2 linked regions of the Caenorhabditis elegans genome follow. The protein of the gene in region 1 interacts with the protein of each later gene in a pairwise test. Each region holds a gene or a part of one and is shown in the gene's direction. Other genes may lie near its edges.

Evidence for each region.
Region 2: the proteins of C33E10.10 (region 1) and rpa-2 interact in a two-hybrid assay, tested with the Caenorhabditis elegans proteins (one large-scale study listed by BioGRID).

Annotation. Positions count from the first base shown.
Region 1 is NC_003284.9:17,298,803-17,307,076, reverse strand, and holds C33E10.10 (DeHydrogenases, Short chain), read left to right. Parts: upstream 1-5,076; 5' UTR 5,077-5,153; coding exon 5,154-5,369; intron 5,370-5,511; coding exon 5,512-5,703; 3' UTR 5,704-6,237; downstream 6,238-8,274. Other genes in the region: C33E10.1 (F-box domain-containing protein), read right to left, coding at 1,378-1,534, 1,580-1,647; fbxa-120 (F-box domain-containing protein), read right to left, coding at 3,248-3,424, 3,472-4,099, 4,146-4,223, 4,291-4,325.
Region 2 is NC_003279.8:4,766,919-4,774,751, forward strand, and holds rpa-2 (Replication protein A C-terminal domain-containing protein), read left to right. Parts: upstream 1-3,373; 5' UTR 3,374-3,385; coding exon 3,386-3,469; intron 3,470-3,516; coding exon 3,517-3,838; intron 3,839-3,887; coding exon 3,888-4,348; 3' UTR 4,349-4,440; downstream 4,441-7,833. Other genes in the region: M04F3.4 (EF-hand domain-containing protein), read right to left, coding at 4,568-4,571, 4,686-4,763, 4,960-5,089, 5,159-5,267, 5,316-5,457, 6,051-6,106; M04F3.5 (IMD domain-containing protein), read right to left, coding at 7,140-7,390.

The DNA of each region.
Region 1 (8,274 bases):
CGAGAGTATGATGTTTTTCATACTCGCAATAGTAACATGTAGCTTAGCCCGACACGGCTTCTGAAAGCATCCCTGGCATTTTTTGTCATTGCTACCATCTATATTTATCAGTTTAAAAAAGCATCGGATTTTTTTTTGATTAAAATTGTTATTTCAATAAAATGTTAATAAAATATTAAAATGATAACTATTGTAATCTGTATTCCTTCACGTCTCCCAGCGAGCGTAATAAATTATTATTATTATTATTATTCTACGCTTGTTTGTTTAATTCTTATGTACTCCCTATAATCGAATATTGCTCAGTCGTCTACTCTCCCTCTCCAAACTCTAAACCCTCTGTCCTCTATTAGTTCAGGCCACGCCGGCAGCTATGAACCCCCAGGTCACGCTTGAAAATCACGCATGTGTCGTCAGCAAACCACCCAGACAACACGCAAAAACCACATAGGGACAGGCAGGCTCCTGCGTGGTTCGTAGGCGTTTTGTGCGTGGTTCAGTTTATCTGAGAGCATGGTATGTCTATATGCTTTATGTTAAAATCGATATGGTCGATCTTAATTTAACAGTTTTAGAACTTTTTTCGGAAGTCCTGCTTTAAAAATTAAACCATTCGTGTGTAATGGAACAAACGAACAATTCAAATCCGTTAATGGTCTATAACAAACGCCAAAAAGTGAATTTTTGGCGGGTAGGGGTGTAAAAGTCAATAATGCAATATTTTATTAAATAAAACGGAGAAATCATATTTCATGTATCATTCTGCTCGGGACATTAATTTCAAAGTACTCGAGCTTTGGATTGGATCCGTTGATCCAATGTCTGACAAACAAGTTGAACTGATTTATGCCAATAACAACTTCCCCAAAAACTACAATGCTGTTTGTGGAGAGAATATCATTAAGATTGTACTCATAAAAATACATCACTCGTAAGACATCGAAGTTTTGAACCAAGAACTCTTGAGTTGTGTGAGTTTTGGATTCAAATACTGGAGTACTGAGATCAATCCTGTCGCTTTTACTTGCAATCTGTCTCATAATCTTCTGATGAAACAACGAGTCTGACATTTTTCCGGGATTCATAAAGCAACAAATGTCGAGATCCTTGAACTCGTCGCAAATCGATTGAGTGCAATAGTTGTCTCTGGTTATAGTGAATTCGTCGAGTTTTGCCCGATTTAAAACATCCAGTAGGTGATCAACATACTTTCGTATTCCCATGCTCGGAATGCTCATACAAATCACTCTACCAGTTGTTGAACCTTCGATTTTCAAATGTTCTGAATTTTCAAATGTTTTTTCAAGAGTCACTCCACTATTGAAAAGTTGAATCTCAAAAAACAGGGGATCTTCGACGGGAAGACTCCGATGCATGTTAGAGAAAAAATGTGAATTTGAGTTGACCATGGCGTTGGGTGGGTTTAATTTTAATTTCCACAGAATCATCAATGTCCACTATAACCAAAAAGACAAATCGATGCAAAGACTTTGCAAGATTTTTCGTCTTTTTTGAGACAAACGAGAAATTCAATCTAAAATTGTTCAAGTTAAATGATGAAAAATGTTTAAAAACTTACATGTCCAGAAGCTGGCAGTGTTGAAGTGTACACCGGAGAGCTTTTGCAGGTAGTTGTAGAATATTCATTGCAGCAGGATGAGCAGTACAGACCAAATGACAGAGAAGGTTGGTTAAGGCAATTGTGGAGTGGACAAGTGAGGGCTAATGGGAGACAGAAAAAAAAGAGCAACTGACGTAATATTATCGGCTACTATGAAGAGGACTCTGACGCACAAAGGAGAATGGACTATTCTGAATCGATAATAGGCAGCTGACCTGTGCAGCGTTAGCACATATTTGATGTAGCACAGCGACCTAGGGCAAGAATTTGTAGCCAATAAAACTCAAAAGTGTGCGCTGGGGCGCGCTTGCATTTTTTAAGTTTTGAAGACAATTATGTCGGTTTTTCAGTGTCTTTTCAGAGAGAATGAAATGATTTTCGACGCAAAAAATCATTTAAGTGGAGTTTTTCATTATAAAATAAAAGTTTCCAGTTCGGAATATATAGATAACGCTTTTTTCGTCCATTTTCCAGACATTGAACGGATTACTGAAGTTGAGCTTATGAAGTCTAACGTTAGAGTATGTTTCTGAATAAAATCGAAAATCATACACTTCATAATCTTTGAAACCAGGATTTAACATCATAACCTGTTAAAAGTGAACGTTTATTAAATTAATACTGCGTGTTTCTTTCATTTCAATGCACATCCGATGCCATTTTGTTCAAAATAATTCTGTATTCTAATTTTTAATGATCTCTCATGTTTTAAAATTAAAAACTTAGTTTTTACAATGAATGGAGAACGTTTGATATGATAAACAATAGTGTAATAAAAACACGAGATGGTTTCTCAAATTTTTGTTCGTTGCGGACTAATTCACTTCAACAAAACTATTTTTCATATCAAAAAAGTAAATGAACAAATATAATTCCTAATAAAAAACGATAAACTCATTTTCGGCTTGTTTTCGAATTGAAAATCATAATTTCGGGTAACATTTACTACAAATTTCTCTTGATTTTCAGGAAAACGGTTCGCTGTGTGTCGTATATATGTATTTGATATAGGAAACTGGTAAAATTTTGGCGGAGTTGAGCTTCAAGTAATTGAAAAAATCTTAAAATCTGCCAATTTTTGCGATTTTTTGTGGATTTCAGTCCAAAAATTAAAAATTGAGAATTGTAAAATTGTGATAACTAGCAAAGATTCAATGTCGATAAAATACTTTACATGCTTTATCTAGTAAACTGGTAAAATTTTAGCCAATTTGAGATTGATTGAAAAATATCAATCAATGTGCCAATTTTTGAGATTTTTCGTGGATTTCGTCCAAAAATTTGAAAGTCAAATTTGAAATTGAGACGATAGGCACAGATGTGAAGTCGATAAATTGTTTTACATGTTTTATCCAGGAAACTGGTGAAATTTTAGCCATTTTTCACGAAATTCATTCTGTCTGGAAAGAAAATAACGTGTGTATTGGATACGTTTTATCTCATTCATTTATTGAGAATCAAAGCAAATAAGTTTGCATTTCAGAAGACATTAGAACAAAAAAAAAGAAAACAAGAGTAAACGTAACAAGAAACCGGTAAAGAACAGAAGAAAACAACAGGACGCATTGAAGATGAAAAGAGTCATGGTGAAAATATCATTTCCTCGAATTTCTGGGGGGACAACAATTAATTGATTGCCAAACGTCTTTCATAAATTATGACAAGAAAGCGATCGATTTTGTTCTTAATTCCATTGATATTGTGAGCAGAGAAGTTTGGATTAAAAACTCGCGCAACTTCTGGTGTCATCTCATCTTTCAAATCAATTATTCCATTTTTGAAGTGAGCGGATTTCAAGAGAATCTGCAAATAGTCACAATAAATTACACAGTTCATTATTTCGAACTCACATCTCTGATTTTAATTGCATCAGAAATTGATAATCCTGGAAAGCCAAGCCAAAAACGAGACAGATGGAACATGTTCTCAATGGGGAAGCTACGAAATGATGACATTGGACTGATAACCTCTTTCGCCTGTTTCCATTGTTCAAGCTCGAAAACTTCATGCGAACGTTCATGTTGCAACAAACTGGCATAGTCAATTTTTTGAAGGAATCCGGGTTTCAAAGTTGAAATGATAGTGATAACATCATTGAATTCCAAGTTTCCCAAAAAAACCTTTTTGGTATGAAGCATATTTTCTGGATTGAAAGTATCTCTGAACCACGTTGCAACTGCGACCGAATCTGAACCACCAAAAATGTTGAGATCATCCAATCGTTGCCGTGGATTCTTCAAAATTACGGTTAAATCGTCAAGCTTCATCATCAAGCGGGGCTTTTCGATATATTTCGTGCAGCAGTAATCACTAGAAATCAAACAACCGGAACCTTGAATTCCGTACGTAACGCAAAAGTTTCCGGTTAAATTCCGCGTAGTGAGAGATAAATCGTCGACTGCCGAGGTGACAGACTCGACTCCTGGATTTTCATCAACAATCTTTCGCAAAATCCGACAGACTTTACGAAGAGCAAGTCTGAAAGTTGTTTTTTTTATTAATGAAATTAAAACTTTGATTTTACCGATTGATTGGATTGACTCTCTTGATAATCTCAGTGAGCATTTCGGTTGGCAACTCTATAAGCGTCCGATCGTTGGAACTGGAAAATTAGTATTATGAAAAAAAGCTCATACCTAATCTTCTATTTGCTTGAAAAATAAACTAACTTCTCAATTGACACACTCGCCAATTTGTCCGTCATGTTCTGGGCGATCAGGGTCGTTTCTGTAGTTTTCTGAAAAAGTTTACGTTTTATTTGATTGAAGAAATTATTTTGCGGAATGAAGAAAATGAAGAAAAGTACTAAAGGAAACAATGGCAACCAAAATGTTCATTATTTGGATAAAACAAGAGAAAGTCCAATTTTTCAATGATCTTTTGTGGAACAATTTATATTATTAAAGCTTAAATTAACTTTTCTAACACTCTAACACGAAAAACCAACGTAAGCTTCACAAGTTCAGGAAAAACCGCGAGAAAATAAATTTCGAAATACTGATCGGCTTAAATATATATTCCAGGAAAATTGTTTCAGTTTTTGACATTTTTCGTGGATTTTGGACCAAAAAAGAAAAATTGAAATTGTGACAATTGGCACAGATTTGGTGTCGCTAAATTGTTATAAATGTTTTATCCAGTAAACTGGTGAAATCTTGGCCAATTTGGGCATCGAGTGATTGAAAAATATCCAAAAATAAGCCAATTTTTGCGAAATGTTGTTATAAGCAAATACTTTTGAAATTGATAAAATCGAGAAAATGTAAGAATTCAAAAGTTAGAAAAACGAAAATAAACAAAAAAAGCTGAAAAAAAAGAGAAAAATGGAATGCGTTCGAACAAATAAATCTCAACAACCTCTCAAGAATTTGTGGGCGTGGTCGATACGCAACCGGTGCGCGCGTTTTTTGCGCAGAGGGGGCGCGCAGTAGCTAGTAGGTGCCGAGAGTGCGACCTACATAGGTCGCTAGGTAGCATTGCGACCTAGGTAGAATTGCGACCTGCGACCTAGCGATCTGCAGCGCCAAACTAAATGTCTTTCTCGGTTTTGATTCACATGAGTTGGCGCTGTAGGTCATATTCTGCAAGTAAGCATGCACTTCAAGGATACTTTGATTGTCTTCGCGCCGAGCACAAGAACCTGCACATTTTGGTGGTCTCCGCTGGATACATCAACACCGGTTTTGGATCGAGAGCTTTGAACACCGATGGGAAAGTTGTTGGGGTAGAGGATGAAAACCAAAAGAAAGTAAGAATGCGTTTTAACAAAATGAGATTAATTTCGTTGCTACTGCTCTGTCTGAGTGGCGCATCTAACTATTTAAATAGCCTGCGACACTAGTTTCACTCTTACTCTTTCTAACAGGTTCTTCGAACTATACTGATTGCAGGGATATTCACCGGAACACTCTGCACGCATGATTTCCGATGCAATCCGTGATCGAGTGTCGGACTTTGACATGGCTCCATTTGGTGCTCGCTTTGCAGTTTTCCTCAGATATTTCTGGCCAACTCTTCTTAATTATGCCTTGTACACTTGTGGCACTAAAGACCAATGGGCGCCGAAGAATAAGAAGGAGTAATTAAAACTAAATGTGATCTAATTCCTGACACAACTGTTATTAGATGTTCATTCTCCGAATGTTCTTTAGCTAAAATTTTGGTATTAGTGTTGTGAGATGGGCTGGGAAACAATCCCATCTCCCAAATTAGTGACCTTTTGAGGATGGCTCCATGACTCTATCATGATCGCCATACCTCAAAACCTCTAATACAATTCCATTCACCCGCGTTTCCCCCGTTAACTCGTCTCCAGTACGCTTCCTTATTGGAATCCCATCCAAATGGTCTTGCCGCGCCCTTAAAGGCGCAGCTCCCCCTTTCGTATAATTATCCCTGGCCTAAAATGTAAGCCGCTCCGCTCACTCAAGTCACTCAAGTCACTCAAGTCGTTCAACACGTTCACCAACGGTCCACCACAACATCTGGCTCCACACATTCCACCATCAATGTCGGCCTCGTTGGATGTCGGCCGCTCCACTGTGAGCGGTCGTCTCTGGACCTACTGACCCTAATTACTTGTTATTCTATGAGCAATAAAGGGGTTTTGTGGCAAACAATTGTGTTATCTTATTCACACCGCTTATCTCTTCTTTCTCGATGGCACTCCGAAACCGCCAGTATCTCTCTTGTCGCTGAATATACTTGACGTCAGAGGTGTTTCCCCAACGCACTTATCTGAGCTGTCAACAATTAGGTCGGCAAATAATTATGAACGTATTTTGCCATTTTACGATTTTTTGTAAATTTTATATATGTGACTCATAGTAGGCAGTGAGTATAGGAAAGCTTATAAATTTAAGCTACTTTGGCCATCTGCGTAATATTAAGATTTGAAAAAATCGAAAAATTTTTGAAATTTTTTTTCGTGATTATCTCGATCTTCATTTCAAAGAAAAGAAACAATTAAATTCACATGTATTTAGAAGAAAGTTTGCAAAACTATTAATTACAAACAACAGTATCATTTTTTCATTTGTCGGTTTTTTTTTTCGATTTTTCGATTTTTTCATGGGAAAATCGAAAAATTGAAAATCGAAAAACAAAAAGTTTCGATTTCTCAGTTCTCAGGATTCTCAGAAAAACCAAACAATCTAATAAAATGTTCCTAAAATAAACCATAAAAATGATGTTTTAATCTAAATCCTTGATTAAAAAATAATGTGTTCCTCAAAATGGGTATTTGTCAAAAACATAGAAACCATTAAACATTAGGTTGAACTGGAAGTCTTTGTGACTGGGTTTGCTTTTTCACCGCTCACCGCAGTTGCACTTCGGTATTGCCTTGTTGCTAGGGTACACCAACGAGTGAAGGTACTTAATTTTAAACAACGCCCCATTCTTTTCCCTCTTGCCTCAGCTCAGTTAGCCAACGATGTTTCCCTGAGAATGTTTATCATACATATGCCCCTCACTATAATACAATACACAATTGGTACCAACGCTTCGAGAAGGACGGCTTTTCTCTCGAGGGTCATGAGACCCCATGAATTGTATTAATTGGATTTTGATACGTTGAAAAAAGACGTGGCAACGGATCCTTTTTAAACCACCTGTGAGCTGTCCACCGCACTTGGATCCCATCAAACAAAGATACATAGTACAGGGCTTGGAAGCTCTCGAAATGAAGAAACTTATCGGTCGATTTATACCAAGGCTGTGCGGCTGATGGAAAAATTCGGTTGTCAGCGACAGCCGAGTGTTTATTTTTTCTCGGCTGTCGGTTCACACCATACACGCCGACAGCCGAATCACTTTTTTGGCTATCGACTCACGCCGACATCCGAGTTTCAATTATTTTTTTGGCTGTCAGCCAAGAAAACAATAACTCTTTTATTTTTAAAGGCATACATATGTTGCAAGTATATATCCAAAACTATTTCCGTTTCCATTCTTGGTTACTTTGAAAAGCTAACTTTTCCCACAAATACATTAATTGTAATGAGAAAAAAAGATTTAAAAAAATAGAGATATGTCTTTAATTAATGTGAAAAATAAAACAAAAAAATCGATATCTATCTGATTATCGAAAAATAACTTTTTTATTAATTTAAAGAGTCAGTTTTAGTGAATTTGCAGATATTTTTGGCTCATTTCTAGATGAGTTCTTTTTTTTTTTAAATTCAAGTCATTTCCTGTAGATTTCGCAATTTTCAATCGCAAAGTTCAATTTTTTTTCAAAGTCTGGTATTTGGATAACTTTTACACTTTGTCGATGACAATTTTTCAAATCAAAAACAATAATAATATTTGAATTGAGCATTTTTGTTTAAAAAAGTCAATCTATGAAGAAATACAGTAAGTATACAACAAAAATTTTCAAATCGAATAAATTTGATGTTTTTAATTTGAAAAATTGTCATTAGTAAAGTGTAAAAGTTATCCAAATACCAGACTTTAAGAAAATATTGAATTTTGAAAAGTTGCGAAATCTAAAGGAAATGGCTGGTATTTTAATAAAATGAATAAAAGTAATAATTGTATTTATTTTATCATGAATACGTTCAAGAATTAATCAAAATTGAAAAAGGTCGTATTTTTTGTGTGGTTCGCATTTTGCCTTTGGTTCACTATAAAAAAATTTTGGAATGGCT
Region 2 (7,833 bases), on another chromosome or scaffold:
GACATTGGCTCCATCGAACCCCGAGTGACCCTGGAACTCGTCGAAATTGAAGAAGGAATCGATGAGGGAGAAGTTCTCTATAGCATACTACGAAGACTCTAGACGAACTGTTAAGACTGAGAGTTTATATGGACAAGAAGAAGCACTTAAAGAAGCACCGTGTGTAGGAAAGCGAAAAACGGGTTATTCGAAGACGTACGATTGTCAAGGGGCAACAGGATGCTGAGGAGACAGAGGTGAAGGAAATTCGAGAGAATGCTACTCGTAAGCAAGGTGCTACTACTGGACAAGTTGAAGAAGTTGAAAATCAGACGGAGAAGGATAGAGAGATTGTGATGAATCGGGAGAGGTACAGATTTCAATAATTTAATGCTTCTAATTTGATATATTTTCAGAAATCTGAAGCGTGCCAACGAGGAATGGGGAACAACTGAAGCCTCGAAGCGTCCAAGATATGAGGATAGTCGTGGTGTTTTCCGAGGTGGATTCAGAGGAAGAAGAGAAGCTCGTGGTGGCTTCCGTAGAAGTGACGACCGAGGAGGATTCAGAGGACGTGACGGAGGTGGTGGCTTCCGTGGTGGGCAAGGTGGAGATTGAGGCGGTTTCCGTGGTCGTCGTCAATTCTAATATCAGTTGTTGTTTTGCAATTTATTGGTTTTCTGCGTTCTCCATTTTTATTATTATGTTCGTTTTTGTTATTGTTATAATCATGAATATATCAGACTGTTTAACCCGAATTCAGAACTAGGAATTTAGCAGAAAATCGCAGGAAAAATTTGGGACTTAATAATTATTGCGTTTTGCGTTAAAATATCACATTTGCACGTAAATTGTGACACTTGCGGTTTGGCGGCACGGCTCTCTATATTATTCATTCATTTTATCAACAAACTTCTATCGCCCTAACGTCGATCAAAAAAGCTCATCAGCAACTGCCGTCGAGTGGAGACCCGAAGAACTCGGGGGATGTCCAACTGGGGGATTCCCAACTCGGGGGATTGGCCACGCCCACAGAACCGTGCCTTACAATACGCCCATTTCTGCAACCTCCGCACGGTTTTGAATGATGATTTTTTTCATCGTTTTTTGGGGGAGAAAAATCAATTTCGACTCTAAAAAGTTCAATTTGAATTGTTTTTTTCGGTTTTTGAGTCGTTTTCGCGGAATAAAAGAAAAATATTTTTAAAAAATCGATTTTTCGCAGTGAAACAACAATTTACACGGAAAGGGGACGCGTAAAAATCGATTATTTGCAAGGAAAGAACAATTTACACGAGAGGAGACGAAGTAAAGAACGTAGAACGAGTTCTATTTAAAAAATTCGAATAAGATAACCTGAAAAATTGCCATGAAATGTTTTTCAGAGCCGGCGGAAATTGTTCAATGAAATAATTGTACAAATTGGTTTGCAAGCTATTCATTGAACATTAAGAGCGATATTTTATTGATCATGATAATTATTTACAGATAAGGATAATATTACATTTAATGAATTACATAATTTCAACAAAAAAAACAATAATTTGTCATGAAAACGGAAGAATTTGGAGGATGAGCAGCTCGGGCGGATCTGAAAAATTTAAATTAGAACTTTCATAATGACATCGCTGATATATAAATGAAAAAAGATTTTATCTCGTCTATTATCAGATTCGCTTAGTTTTTAGAGGCCTTTGGCTTAAATGAATGCTACAGGTACACTTTTCTCTTAATGGATACGGAAAAGTGAACAAAAATCAAATTTCTAGCGTCTTTTCCACCATACCAATTACAAAATTCTACACAATTCAATTGAGAAGTCTACGGTTTGGAGTTTTAACGTTCACAGAGACGTACAATCGAAAAGAACATGGTTATTGCGAAGAAGAACTGATCGCCCGCCACTATACAGAAATTCCGACTTCAAAAGAGCAGTGACAGCAAATTATAGCTGTTTCAACGATTTCAATGCCTGTATAAGTCCATCTATGTTCGATCCGAAGATATTTCATTAATTTTTTGTTAAACTATTTCAATTTTTGTTCTTAAATCAATTTTTTTTCCTACTTTCTACAATTTGAGAATATAATACTCACGTAGGTGGACTGGAGAAGCACATCCTTGTTTCATCCGTGCAATTTTGATGGTCCCTCGATTCGACGAAGTCTAGAAATTAAAAAAATTAATAAAATATGAGAGGGAAAGAGATTAACAAAAGGAATACACGAATTAAGGAGGGCGAATTAACAAGTCACGGTTGAAAAATACTTTTTTTTGCGAAAATGGCTGAAAAAACGAAGAAAAACAATTCAAATTGAAGTTTTTAGAGTCGAAATTGATTTTTCTCCCCCAAAAAACAATGAAGAAAATCATCATTCAAAACCGTGCGGAGGTTGCAGAAATGGGCGTATTGTAAGGCACGGTTCTGTGGGCGTGGCCAATCCCCCGAGTTGGGAATCCCCCCAGTTGGACATCCCCCGAGTTCTTCGGGTCTCGTCGAGTGAAATGCGATAGAATTTGTCTGTGAAAAACCAAATATCGATTTTCCTTGAATATCGTGAAGAACAAATCTTCATACTTACGATTCTTCACAAATTCGATGAAAATCTGATAGTTTTTTCAATTTTAGCTCTATAATTCCGAAAAAAATCTTCTGTTAATTTTCGCGAAATGTCGTCAATTAAAATGCGCGCTGTGCAGTACGCAACGGTGTACGAAAGTTTACACTGAGTATTCAACGTTGAGCACGCAGTCAGCCAAATTGGAATACGGTAGAGAATCCTCGTCCATGTACCCCCCGCCGGGCCGTGGGTCGAGCTGAATACACGTGATTCTCCTACGCAAGGACTATAAAAGTGAGCTGTCACTCTCATTTTTCTTCTTTTTTCATAAAATTTAGTTCATTCACTTTATCGTTGCTTGTCTTTTTGTGATATTAAGACTTCCTGCGCTTATATTTTCATCTTGCCAGTGCTTTAGTGTTAGATTCATATAAATTTTCTGGCCTTCACTTTCAGATTTTTCACATTATCCAAAAATACATGTACACTGAATTCCTGAGTAAATAATTCTTTATGATTTATTTTTCTTTTTAATGGTTTTCCCTGTGTTCGCGGAATATTTTGTTTTGAAACCTAGTGAAGTAAGCGCGCTCTATAGAAACGCGCGAAATTGGCCGTTCAAACTAAGTATTGCATAATTTTAGCTCCATTTTCGACATCATATCAGTTTTTTACTAAATTTTTCTGTTAAAAAGTTAAAATTTATGTTTCAGTGTTTCTAAAATATGTAACACATCTTGTCTCTCTGGAATCTGTTGATAAACGCTAATTATTCACCTTCCCTTTCTTTCCTTCATTTTTCTCGCATTTCTAATCTATTTTCATCTTTCCAGAAACTACTAACCATGTGGAACGAGACTGTCGAGCACGAGAACGCAGGAAACGGATGGGCCGCTGGAGAGTCGTCGTTTATGACCGACAGAAAGCCTGTAAGAATAAGAGATAAATCATACTTTCAAATAAATATTTTTTACAGGACTCGAAGGCTACAACTCTCGGCGAGAGGCTCCCAGTGCCGGTCACGATTTCCAATCTGATCGAGCACTTTTCTGCGCAGGATGACAAGTATGTCGTCGGGACTTTCCGATTCGCAACGGTGTTGACCGTCGGTATTGTGAAGGATATCAGTCAGGATGGGACAACGTACACGTACGACCTCTGTGATCCAAACAACACGGAGATGGAATATCGTACGCTCAAGTATGACAATGAGGGTTCGACATTCGATCATTCTTCAATTGTCGAGGGAACTCGTGTTCGAGCCATCGGAAAGCTCAAGGGATTCGATGGAAACAATAGTAAGTTTATATTTCCTTCAATTATATATCTTAATTCAAATAATTTCAGCCATTATGCTGTTCAACATCACTCCAGTTGAAGACGACAAGGATTTCACGATCTTCGAGCTCGAGGCAGAAGCTGCACGTCTGTTCTTCCAAAAGAACGTGAGCGAGAAACTGAAGTCGGTCGACTCGGATGGCTTCCAAGGAATGCTGGCACCACCGAAGAGCAGAATGTCACAAACATCGCATCAAAGCTCGCAAGGATCGGACACCAAGGAGAGATTGTATGCTCAACCGCAAAAAGTGATGACGGGAGCGAACCAAGGAGATGTGCTCAGAGAGCGCATTACCGCCGTCTTGATGGCTGTGCCAGAGGGTTCTCGTGACGAAGGTCGACATGTTTCGTGGATAGCTGAGCAAATTCAAGAAACGAACATTTCTATTGTTCGTAAGTGCGTCGGTGAGATGGTCGAGAACGGATTGGTCTACACCACTGTCGACGAGGAAACTGTTTCCGCTATTTAACTGCTGATTGTAACATTATTTTCATTATCCTTCTTTCATCCCACTGGGAAATTCACTTTTGATACTCGAAACTATGAATGATTCATACTTTAAAAGCGTTTATTAGTAAATTTGAACATAATTAATTAGACGCTAATGATGCGAAGAATCCGAGGAGGAAAGAGAGCATGAGGAACGGCAAATCACATTATTAACCCAGACGATTGAACACACTTCGAGCTACCTGAAAACAAAACGAAATTGAATTTAACTTTTTTTCGAATGGAAGCTAGTAGAAGTGCTAGGTGTTAGGTCGAAAATGGATTGTGGTTGGTTCTCTAAATACTCTTAAAATCACATTTTCAATGAAAAGACCATTGTCAGGAACTGCTCGTAGCCGACGGTGATGACTCCATCGCGGTCCGTGTCGACGTCTCTGAAAATTAAGTAATCAGATTGTAAAGTATGATACTCCAAATTTTTTGGTCAAAAATTACTATAGAAACATAGAAAATAGTTAGTTCCATCTAAAAATATTTTTAAAGTAATATTTAATTTTGTTGAAAAATTTTGAATTTTTTAAAAGAGCTTTTCTCTAAATTTCTAAATCAATTTTAGCCCTGATTTCTAACCTGAAGGCAGCAGTGAGGGTCTGAAGAACGACGCAAAGTTGGATAAAATCGTCGAAATTGATTCGATTACTGTGGGATCTGTCGAATTTGTGCATAAGGATGTTGTAGAATTGTGGAGAGAGACGGTATCCTGAAGAAATATATGATCAGTCATCGAGTTTCCGATTTTCTTATCGCTTTTCTATGATTAAAAACTAACCAAATTGTGTGAGAGCATTGGTCAGCTCACTCTTATCAATATTTCCCGAACCATCGGTATCAAAACCACGGAAACAGTTTGTCCAGTCGTTGATATATCTCCACAGAGCCTGAAAATATGATTATTTTCACAAATTCTGGTTTATATTTTTTCAAACCTGGAATTCTTGAAAATTGATTGCGCCGTCTCCATTCGAGTCGAACATTCCGATCATTAAACGGCAAGTTTCCGGATTGAATGGGTTCCATGTTCCGTTGGAGAGAGCAGTTTGAAGCTCATCGGAACTGATTTGCCCTGATCTGAAAACTGGGAAATTTTGTTTAATTTTTAAATATTATGTAAATAATAAATAAAATTTTAAATATTAAATATTAAATAAAAAAATATAAATAAAAATTTTAAATTTATAAATGTTTGTTTTTGCGATTCTTGGCTCTTGAAAAAATACAAAAATTATATTCTGCGCATAAAATACGGTAACCAGTCTCGAAACGACAAGTTCTGGTTTTTGTTAAAAGATACGCGCCTTTGAAGAGTACTATAGCTTCAAAGTTCATCGATTTTTCATATTTTTTCTCGTGATTTTATACAAATTTGAGCGTTTCATTTTTTTTAAACATAAATATATTTTGTATCAAAAAATTATGAAAAATCGATAAAAATTCCGCAGCAATAAAAGTTTGAAACTACAGTGCTCTTTAAAGGGACACACATTTTTCCAAAAACAGAAATTTGTCGTGTCGAGACCGGGTACAGCGAAATTTTTTTTTGTTTTTTTATTCATAATTTTGACAATAAATTTTCAACGAGAAACATATTTATTGATTTTATTTACTCCAATTTTAAAATTGTTATATCAATTTAACTATTAAAACTATTAATAAAAACATACCGATCCTTGTCGACAGAAGAGAAGATTTGTTGCAAGTTAGGTTGTTGAAAAGCCATCTAAAAATGGATAAAATCTGTGTGAATTGGTAAAATAAAAATAAAATGAAATGAGAGAAGAATGTGAAGTACTCAAAAGAGACGCAGACGGTGAGACAACAACAAAATGTGTGCGGTGATGATGCATCGATGTGGGCGGAGCCCAGAAACACTGTTGAGTAGTGACGTCACATTATCCGTGGTGAGTCATTCACTCTCTTCAGGGGGATGGGAAAATGATGAATATTGTGAAATAAGGTGATGAAAAAGTGAATGTTAACAGTTGAGATGTACGAAAATAGTTAGGAAGTTTTCGTAATATTTTGAAAAACATCGAATATTTCTAGTTGGAGAATCTCAAAGGGGCTGGAATATAACTCTGATCATGAAAAAACTATGAAAAATCGAAACAATTCCAGTTTGAAATTACAGTCCTCTTTAAAGGTGCACACAGTTTTTCGCTAAAATTTTAATTTAATTAAAAATATATTTATTTACTAAAAAATTCAGCATAACATAATAAAAACATAACACACAAGCTTTAGATAAAAATAAATGAAAATACCACAGCAACGAAGTTTTCAACCTACAGTAATCTTTAAAGGCGCAGTCCCATTTATGTTTACCAAAACTTGTCGTGTCGAGACCTGGTACCGTAGTTTTGTGGTAAAAAAATGCAAAAAATATAGTAATTTTTTTCCTAAAATAAACTTTTCTCTTTTTTCGACTTTTCAAAATGTTTGGAATAATTATTTGCCTGTCCAAATAAACTTTCTGAAAAATAAAACATATTTTGGATGAATAACGCATTAAAAAAAACAAAAATCGTTTATCTTTTTCGTCAGAAAGAACAATTGGGATCCCAAATTGAGGGAGAACATGCTTTTTATATACAGTACGAATGTTATTCTACATTTTAAAAGGAAAAGGAATAAAATAAACATAGAAAAAAGAGATAGAAAATGCCCGTTTTGGTATCAAACATAGTATTTTTGCAATTCAAAAGACTCCGAATAAAATAAGAAAAAAAAAACTAAATAAATTTAAAATCTATTTAAATTCGAAATTTTGCTGCTGCTGCAGTCGCTGAAGCTTGACCATTCACATTATTCGATCGATTGAAAGATGACATTTGATAGAATTGTTGTGGATGTGCTGGATCGTAAAGTCCAGCCGAATCCAGAGATTGACGGCTTCCCATAGTTGATCCATTCATTCGTTGCTCGGCAACTGAAGGAGCGGTCGGGGTGGCTGCAGTGATTTGGGATGTACGGCGGGCTGGTGGTGGTGGTCGAGATGCGGATGCTGAAAATTTTTTAATTCTGACTGGAAATTGATGGTGTAGATTTAGGAATTTTTATGAAAATCGAAAAACTAAAAAAAATAATTTTTTTTAGTTTTTCGAGAAATCAAAAAATAAAAATAAAATTTTTTTTGAATTATTTTTTGGAAATACATATAAGAAATATAGATTCATAAAAAATGTTGAATTTGATAAGAAAAAGATGTTTCGGCTTTTTAAAAATTTTGTTTAATAATTTCCAGTTTTTTTTTTGAAGAAATTTATTCTTTAAAAAATTAAAATCAGCATATTTTCAATATCCCGTTTTTTCTCGTCTTTTCCGTACAATTTTCTCAAATTTTTAGATTTTCAAAAAATCGAAAGTTTGGTTTTTTTCAATTTTTTGGAGTCATCATTGATTTTAACTTTTTTTTAAATACGGATTCAGATTTAAGTTAAATTTTTT